Sus scrofa: one gene and its partner. The protein of the gene in region 1 purifies or fractionates together with the protein of each later gene. This does not show direct contact. Links are inferred from orthologs where the notes say so. Each region holds a gene or a part of one and is shown on either strand. Other genes may lie near its edges.

Evidence for each region. The genes of interacting proteins can lie anywhere in the genome.
Region 2: the proteins of LIN28A (region 1) and CHERP purify together in Homo sapiens (co-immunoprecipitation; 3 studies listed by BioGRID and IntAct, with this or other methods). This does not show direct contact. The link is inferred for Sus scrofa from reciprocal best matches to the Homo sapiens genes LIN28A and CHERP.

Annotation. Positions count from the first base shown.
Region 1 is NC_010448.4:83,804,960-83,808,701, forward strand, and holds the start of LIN28A (protein lin-28 homolog A), read left to right. Parts: upstream 1-1,218; coding exon 1,219-1,249; intron 1,250-1,713; coding exon 1,714-1,898; intron 1,899-3,742. UniProt on the Homo sapiens protein: RNA-binding protein that inhibits processing of pre-let-7 miRNAs and regulates translation of mRNAs that control developmental timing, pluripotency and metabolism.
Region 2 is NC_010444.4:61,061,662-61,065,403, forward strand, and holds the start of CHERP (calcium homeostasis endoplasmic reticulum protein), read left to right. Parts: upstream 1-1,298; 5' UTR 1,299-1,418; coding exon 1,419-1,443; intron 1,444-1,753; coding exon 1,754-1,927; intron 1,928-3,742. UniProt on the Homo sapiens protein: Involved in calcium homeostasis, growth and proliferation.

The sequences.
Region 1 (3,742 bases):
AAAAGAAGAGGGTCTGGGAACCTGAGAGTCGGTGTTTTGGGTAAATACCTCCACCCACCTATCTACCTAGTCACTCTCAGCAACGAATAGGGACAGGATGGAAGTGGGCAGGATGAGGGCAGCTGGTGGAGAGAGGAGCACACTGCAAGCCTCTTAGGGTTCTTTCTGTTCTCTCAGGGAACTCGATGTGGGGTCAATATTAGACACAGATTTGGAAGGAAACAAGGAAGGATTCTTTACACAGACTCAATTAGGAGTGCTTTGAAAGAGCCAGAAAAACTCAGTTGGAAACTCAGGAAGGCAGAGACATTCAGTCAGAGATAGACTTTGAGAGGCAGCGCCTAGGTCAGGAGTGGAGATCGGTCCCGCTGGGTCTCCCGCCTCCCCCTGCCTCCCCCGCCCCTCCCGGCTTCCCCATCCCAGGCTTCCTAGTGTCCTGAACTCCAGGTCTATCTAAGCACACGGAGGTGGGGGGTGAGAACGGGTCAGCGCCGAGCTGCCGGGTCAGCTAGGAGGCCTGAAGGGGAAGGGAGGGGGAGGGGCGCTCAAGGGCTGGGGGAGGGGGAGGGCTCATCCATTTCTCCCTTGACAGGTGGTTTGTGTCTCTGATTGGCCAGCGCTGCCAGGCTCACACCTCCCTCCCCCAACTCTCTGGAATGTATAATTATCTGCACGGGGGGTGGGGGTGGTGTGTGAGTGTGTGTGGGAGCAGTCACGTGGCTTTAAACTACCCCCTCCACAGGCCCCCCCACCTGTATGCTGCTTTAGGGACCCCCATTGAGTCCTTAAAGTGCAGGATCCCAAATTCCCGGGTACTCAAGACTTCTTAGGGCTGACGGCCCCCATCTCCAGATGTGTGCGTGTGTGTGTGTGTGTGTGTGTGTGTGTGTGTGTGAGGGGGTGTCAAACCTTAAGGTTCTGAGAAGGGACACCCCAGAGGTGTCAGAGACTGCAGTGGTGGGGGAGGGCCAGAGCTGGAGCCTGAGGGAAAGGGAGGGGAAAGAAGAGGGAGGGGAGGGGAGGGGGGCTGCCCGCGGGGGGTTGGGTCATTGTCTTTTAGAATTTGGGAGCCTTTGAAAAGCCGTGGGCCCTCCCACCGCTATTGTGCTGGGGAAGATGTAGCAGCCTCTTCTCCGAGCCACCCCTTTGCCTCCGGACTTCTCTGGGGCCAGCAGCCGCCCGACCAGGGGCCCGGGGCCGCGGGCTCAGCCGACTACCATGGGCTCTGTGTCAAACCAGCAGTTTGCAGGTTCGACCTGGGGACAACTTAGGCTACAGGAGCTCCCAAAAGCCACATAAAAGGGAGGTGGGGAAGTGTCCCCCAGACCACCCGAAGAACCCCAAGTCTGCGGGTTCCTGCTTCGGGGGGGCCATCTCTGGAGCAAAGAACCCTGGTGTCCCAGCGGCGTGCAGGCTGAGGCTCCGGGGGCGGGGGTGGTGGGAAGAGAAGAGGAGGGGCCTGTCCGGCCGACTGTCCCCGGGTAACGTGCTGTGTGTGGGAAGACGAGCAAAACTTTCGGGGCACCACTGGCTTCAGCGTAAGGTTGGGGAGCACAGGAGGCAGCCGGGACAGGGATTCTCTCTCCGGCCGCTTGGTAGCCACAGCTTCCTGGGTGTTTACCGGCGGGCTGGACGCTAGGGTCTCTCTGCCGGGTCTCTGATAGGGTCCTCCAATTCCGTGGCCCCCCAGCTGAGCGCCTTCCCAATCTCCAGGTGGCTGCGCCAAGGCGCCGGAGGAGGCGCCGGAGGACGCGGCCCGAGCAGCCGAGGAGCCGCAGCTGCTCCACGGTGCCGGCATCTGTAAATGGTTCAACGTGCGCATGGGGTTCGGCTTCCTGTCCATGACCGCCCGCGCCGGGGTCGCGCTCGACCCCCCAGTGGACGTCTTTGTGCACCAGGTGAGACCGATTCTAGTAACTTTGCCGCGGGAAGGGGATGTTGGCGCGCGTATCCAAGGGTGGGCGGTCAGCTCGGCTCTTGGATTGAAGGAGATCAAGGGCTCTCATTGTGAGTTCTCATCTTTGCCGTGGCACCCCAGTTTTGAGTCCCCGACTGACTCTAATCAGACGGGAGTTGGAGGCACAATCGATTATCAGCACCCCCAGCCCCTTCCGGCAGCCTCTCTGGCTTACCACGTGTCTGTTACCTCTTTCCCCTGGGCAGGGGGCAGGGAGGTGACCCCATGTGGCAGAACTAAGGTTGTATTGTGCTTGCCAGTGGGGGGAGGGCAAGCTGGCCGGCCAGGGAAGCACATGCCCGGTCGGAGCGGAGCCGACCTGGAGAGAGGGAGGGAAACCTCTCCGGGTCCCTTCGGGGTAAAGCTGAGAAGTCAGCGGGGTCTCCTCACCCTGATAGTCACCCAACACTCAAGCCCTGATGCCAGGGTGGGTTTGGCAGATCCTGAAGGATCAATTTGGGGGTCTGAAAGCTGCTCAAGAGGACACCACGTCTCAGGTGCACAGTTCACTAGCTGGGCTTTTGCTGTCCATTTCCTATTGGGAAAGAAAACCCAAGGAGCCAGGCCTTAGATTCCCCGGGCCAGGCTGGGAGGGAGTTGGGTTGCAACCCCAAGTTCTCAGTTAAAGCAAGGCAGCACAGTGGGGGTGAAATTCAGTGTCGCGGGCCAGGGGGTGGAGGGAGGCTAGCCTCTGGACTATTCTCTTCGGCTTGGCATTTATGGCCCCAGACAGCCATTGATTGCTGTCCTAACATTCCCAGCCTCAAACAAGGAGCCAGAGACTTCAGGTTTCCCTCCTCCCCGGCCACCCCTTCCTGAATATCTTAGAAGCGTTCCTGTGGTCCCGGGACACCAGCCTCACATAACAACCGTGCAAAGGAAGTTGTGGCTTGGGTTCCCTCCACCTTTGGAGATTTGAGACTGGACCTGGGAGGAAAATTGCTAATCCCAGGCCCATAGGTTGACACCCAGGCCGGGCATGGAGGGGTTACTTCAGGGAGGTTAGCTTTCGGAGCTGTGGGGGAGGGGAAAGGAGGATGTGGGGATTAAGGGTTGGAGCCTGAGGGATGGTATTCTGGAGGGGGAGGGGTGGGGAAGGGAGATGCTGGGTGGACTGGTTGGTGGCTGCAGGGAAATCTCTGAGCCTGGCCCTCAAGAACGCTGAGTGGGGGGAACAAGGGAGATAGAGGATGCTGGGAGATGGGGACCCACCAGTTAAAAACGCTGGGGGTCACTGGGCTATTAGAACGTCTTTCTGCCGGAAAGGTTGGCAGCAGGATGCTTGACTACCCCCTTGCTTTGCTAATTCACTCCACCCCCCCCATTTTACCCCCTCCCCATCTGACATCTAATTCTGGCTGGTGGCTTTGCCCCCCTCCCTGTCTCATTTACATATGTGAATGATAACCCACAGGAAGTAATTGTGGGAGAAAGAAGGGAATTGGCCTCTTTAGATCTATTAAATCACTTTATTACAGGAACCAGCTCTGAATGGCCCTCCTCAGCAGGGTGGCCAGCTCCGCCACTCTCCCATTTATCTGATCACAAAGAGATTAAAATCTCTCCAGGTCCAGAGAGGACTGGACAGCTTCCCCAACTTTGGAAGACTTGGAATAAAAGAGTCAGATCCAACATTTTCTTGCTTCTCTTCCCAAGGCTGCAAAATAGGGAAGGACTGAGGGAATGGCACTCCTCTGGGGTTCTTTCACCAAAGAAAGATATCCAGCACCCAAGGAAGGTTTTCCTGAGCAAATGGATCTGTGCCTCAGCCCACTTAACCCTTAG
Region 2 (3,742 bases), on another chromosome or scaffold:
AAAAGTGTTATGCACATTTTTCTCTTTGGTTATATAAGCACCAAGCACCTACATAATATCCTTGATTTTGGCTCTTGGCCAAACACCTACATAATATCCTTGATTTTGGGTCTTGGCCAGCAAAAATATTTGCTATCTGGCCCTTTATAGAAAAAGTTTGCCAGCCTCTAGTCTAAGAATACTATTTGGGATACAGGAGACAATCTATAACGTCAGATGGAGAAACTAAGTAACAATTTAAAAAATGTATCTAAAACACCCCAACACCGTTTTCAGAGTAGGGAGGTACCGCCAACTAAGTGTTAATGTTAACAATGGTAATCCCAAAAGCGTTCAGATTGCGAGGGAAGTCACAAGTCTACGTTTCTTTAACGTTTGCTGTTCCTTGCTATCTTTCCCCGCAATTAGCAAGCGTTAACTTTACCATCGTTTTATTTCACTTTTTTTGGCCGCCCCGGGGCATATGGGCCCGGGGATCAAATCTGAACTGCAGTTGTGACCTACGCTGCAGCTGGGGCAACTAAGCCGGATTCTTTCACCCACTGAGCCCGGCCGGGGAATCCAATCTGTGTCTTGGCGCTGCAGATCCCGTTTCGCCACAGTGGGAACTCCTCAAAGTTTCATAAGTAACATAACTGCGTATTTCAAGGTGCATCTTTCTGACCGCGCAGCCTAGAAGGCCCGGCACCCGCTTGAATGACTACACAGAAGCCACGCGAGCTCTGAAAGGCTTCTGAAAACGGAGGGAGTAGAGGTGGAGGTGTCCCCTCGCCCTAAGTCTTCTTTATCAAAGAGTTGGATTAAAGAAAAGAAGCACAGCAGGAGAAACTTTTGAACCTCGATAAGCCCTGTTCCATCCCCGCCACGCCTGTAGCCTCCCAGTTCTACTTTTACATCCGGACGAGCCCGGGAGGATGTGACCGGCGCCGCAGCCCAGGCGCCTCCTGGACGCACCTCACCTCGTATTTTCCGCACCGCCGCCTCGCTGGGAGAAAATAGGGCACTGACTAGCGCAGTAACTCCCCAGGGCCCCTAGTCCTACGGAAGAATCTACTGCCCAAGTCCTCGCATTGCAACACGTAACGTGGGAAAACGCCCCAAGAGCAGCTAACGGCCGCCTGCACCGTTCCAGCCGTTCCCTCGCGTCGCGCTACAGAAGTCCATTCCGCACATGCGCGGGAAAGCCCCTGCGCGTGCGTGGTGCTCGCCCCTCCGTGCGTTCGGCCCCTCGCGGCTTCTTCCCGCCTGCCTCGTTTCCTCACTTCCGGGGTTTCCTGGCGACGGCCGTAAGTGGCGGGCGGAAGCAGCGCGCGAAGCCAGTCGTAAAAGGCTCCCTCGCGCCACTTCCGGCCGGCTTCCGCAGACGGCCCTGGTGGGCGATCGTGAGGCGCCGGAGGACGTTCCCCGCGGCTGGAGCCATGGAGATGCCGCTGCCGCCTGATGGTGAGGCCCAGCCTGGGCTCGAAGGCTGTTTCTCTCTCCCCGGAATCCCCTGTTGGCCTACCTCGCCTCCCGGGGTCCCCGGGCCTAGGAGGGGGCGGGGCTCGGCCTCCGGGGTCCGCCTGCGGCCTCTCCCGCGGGTTCCCGCATTCTCGGCGCGCTTCTGGCCCCTATCGGGACCCGTACAAAGGCGGCCTTTCCCGGACCCACCCCTAGGGACCCCCGGCCCAGCAGACGCGGGCTGGGACGACAGGGCCCCCGAATTTGGGCGGTTCTCGCTGACGCCCCGCGTGGCCTTTTCTCCGTCCTCCAGACCAGGAGCTCCGAAATGTCATCGACAAGCTGGCCCAGTTCGTGGCTCGGAATGGGCCCGAATTTGAAAAGATGACGATGGAGAAGCAGAAGGACAACCCAAAATTTTCGTTTCTGTTCGGAGGAGAGTTCTACAGTTACTATAAGTGCAAGTTGGCGCTGGAGCAGCAGCAGCGTGAGTTCTCTTGCTCTCCGGCCGTCCTCTCCAGCGATTCCTTTCTGATTCCATTTCGGGCTCTGCCACAGACCGCCTTTTTTTAAATCGCTTGTTCTTCTGGGAATATGGATTAGCTCGGTCTTCACGGTCCCATTCGCTGTTCCCGGGGCTCTGCACCCGTGCGGCAGCTGGGTCCCAGTGTAATGGAGAACGGGGTTATCGATCCTTTTGCTGGGCTCCAGATCAGGGTTTACTCTTGTTTTGCAAACGTGATGACTGAGGTCAGGAAGGTAGTGACTACTTCAGCGGTTTCCAGGGAGGAAGTAGTAGAAGCCAGATTGGGTGAGACCCTTGGGGCAAATACTGTCCAGCGAGGTTTTTGTGCATTTTAAGATGGTTGTAGCCTAGATCAAAAATGAGTTGTTTCGTGGGTATTAGTTCTTGGTATCAAAATTCCAACCCTCTTCTAAAAGAGCTTAAGATGGGGTTGGTTAACACAGTTGGTCTCTGAATAACAGATAATCACCAGGTAGTAAAGATCCCTGAACCCACATCTGCCCTGTTCAGTAGTGAATCCTTAGCTTCCAGATATGTTGTGTTCTAGATTGCCAAGTAGATGGACATTGAAAGGTGGATGCTCCCTGAACTACAAGTTCCCCACGGCCAACCGGGCCTTGTTTGGCATTGTTGTGCCTAATAGGTAGCACGTAGTAGGTGTTCAATAAAGAGTTCATAGGACACAGCAAAGGTTCAATGGCTTGAACAAGCACAGTGTGTTTTGAGAGCGGAAAGAAACCTCAGTCATCACGTTTGCAAACACAGTGTGTTGTGAGCAGCCCAGCATGGCTGGAGTTTTGATGTGTGTCGACAGGGTCGGGTTTGATCTGGAGTGGTAAATGCCAGGGAAAAGCTTGGGTTTTCTTCTTTAGTCTGGTGTTCTTCTGGTGCCTGTGTATGTTTGAGATGAGGGTGGAGGAGGTCTGTTGCCTGAAAATGTTGGGTTTTGGGTGACTTGTATGGAGGACAGATTGGAGGGAGCATTGAGTGGAGTCTAGGACCAGTTTGGTGGTAAAATCTGAATTAAGTTGGCAGGTCGAGTAGAGAATGTGGGCCTGGGGACAGTTGGGGTTAAAGGGAAGGGCCAGTTGGATATTGAAGCAGGTGGCATAATTGGGCAGGGGAGGACAGTGTTTTGGCTCCGGTTCCTGTGAGGTGAGAGATGCTTTCCCTGCAAGGGGAGCCTATTCCCATCCTGGAAGGTCAGAAATCAGGACCTTCTTGGGACGTGGTGCTATAATGGGGGTTGGGATGCTTCTGGAAGGGAATGGGGCTCAGAAAGTGTTTTATGTAGGTAACTGTTGCCATTAAAGTTCAAGTCATTTAGCTGATGGGAACTGACGAGACAAGTGTGTTCAGGCTGAGGAACACGCCTGAGGAGGGGTTGGGGAGAGAGGGGACAAGAGCTCAGGGTGCCTGGAGCCCAGAGAAGGAGGGATTCTTGGGGTGGCCAGAAGGGAGGGTGCAGAGCAGGTAGGGCTGGTTTGCCAAGGATTCAGGAATTCTGGAGGCTTTTGGGGAGCTCTTGAAGGGTTTCAAGACTATGTTCTGGAGCAGGGTTAGCCACTGTGTAGCCCGCCCTTCACCCTGGTAGTCTGAGAAGATTGAGACCCTTGACTGCTCTAGCATGTTGCCCCACAGACTGTGGTAACGGACTGGTTTTTGTTTTTAACAATTTGCTGTGAAAAGTACAGTTTTGCACAGTAGAAACATGAACCATGAAATATCAAATTGCTTTAAAAGTGCCAAAACGCTCTCTTGGCATTTCTGTGCTTG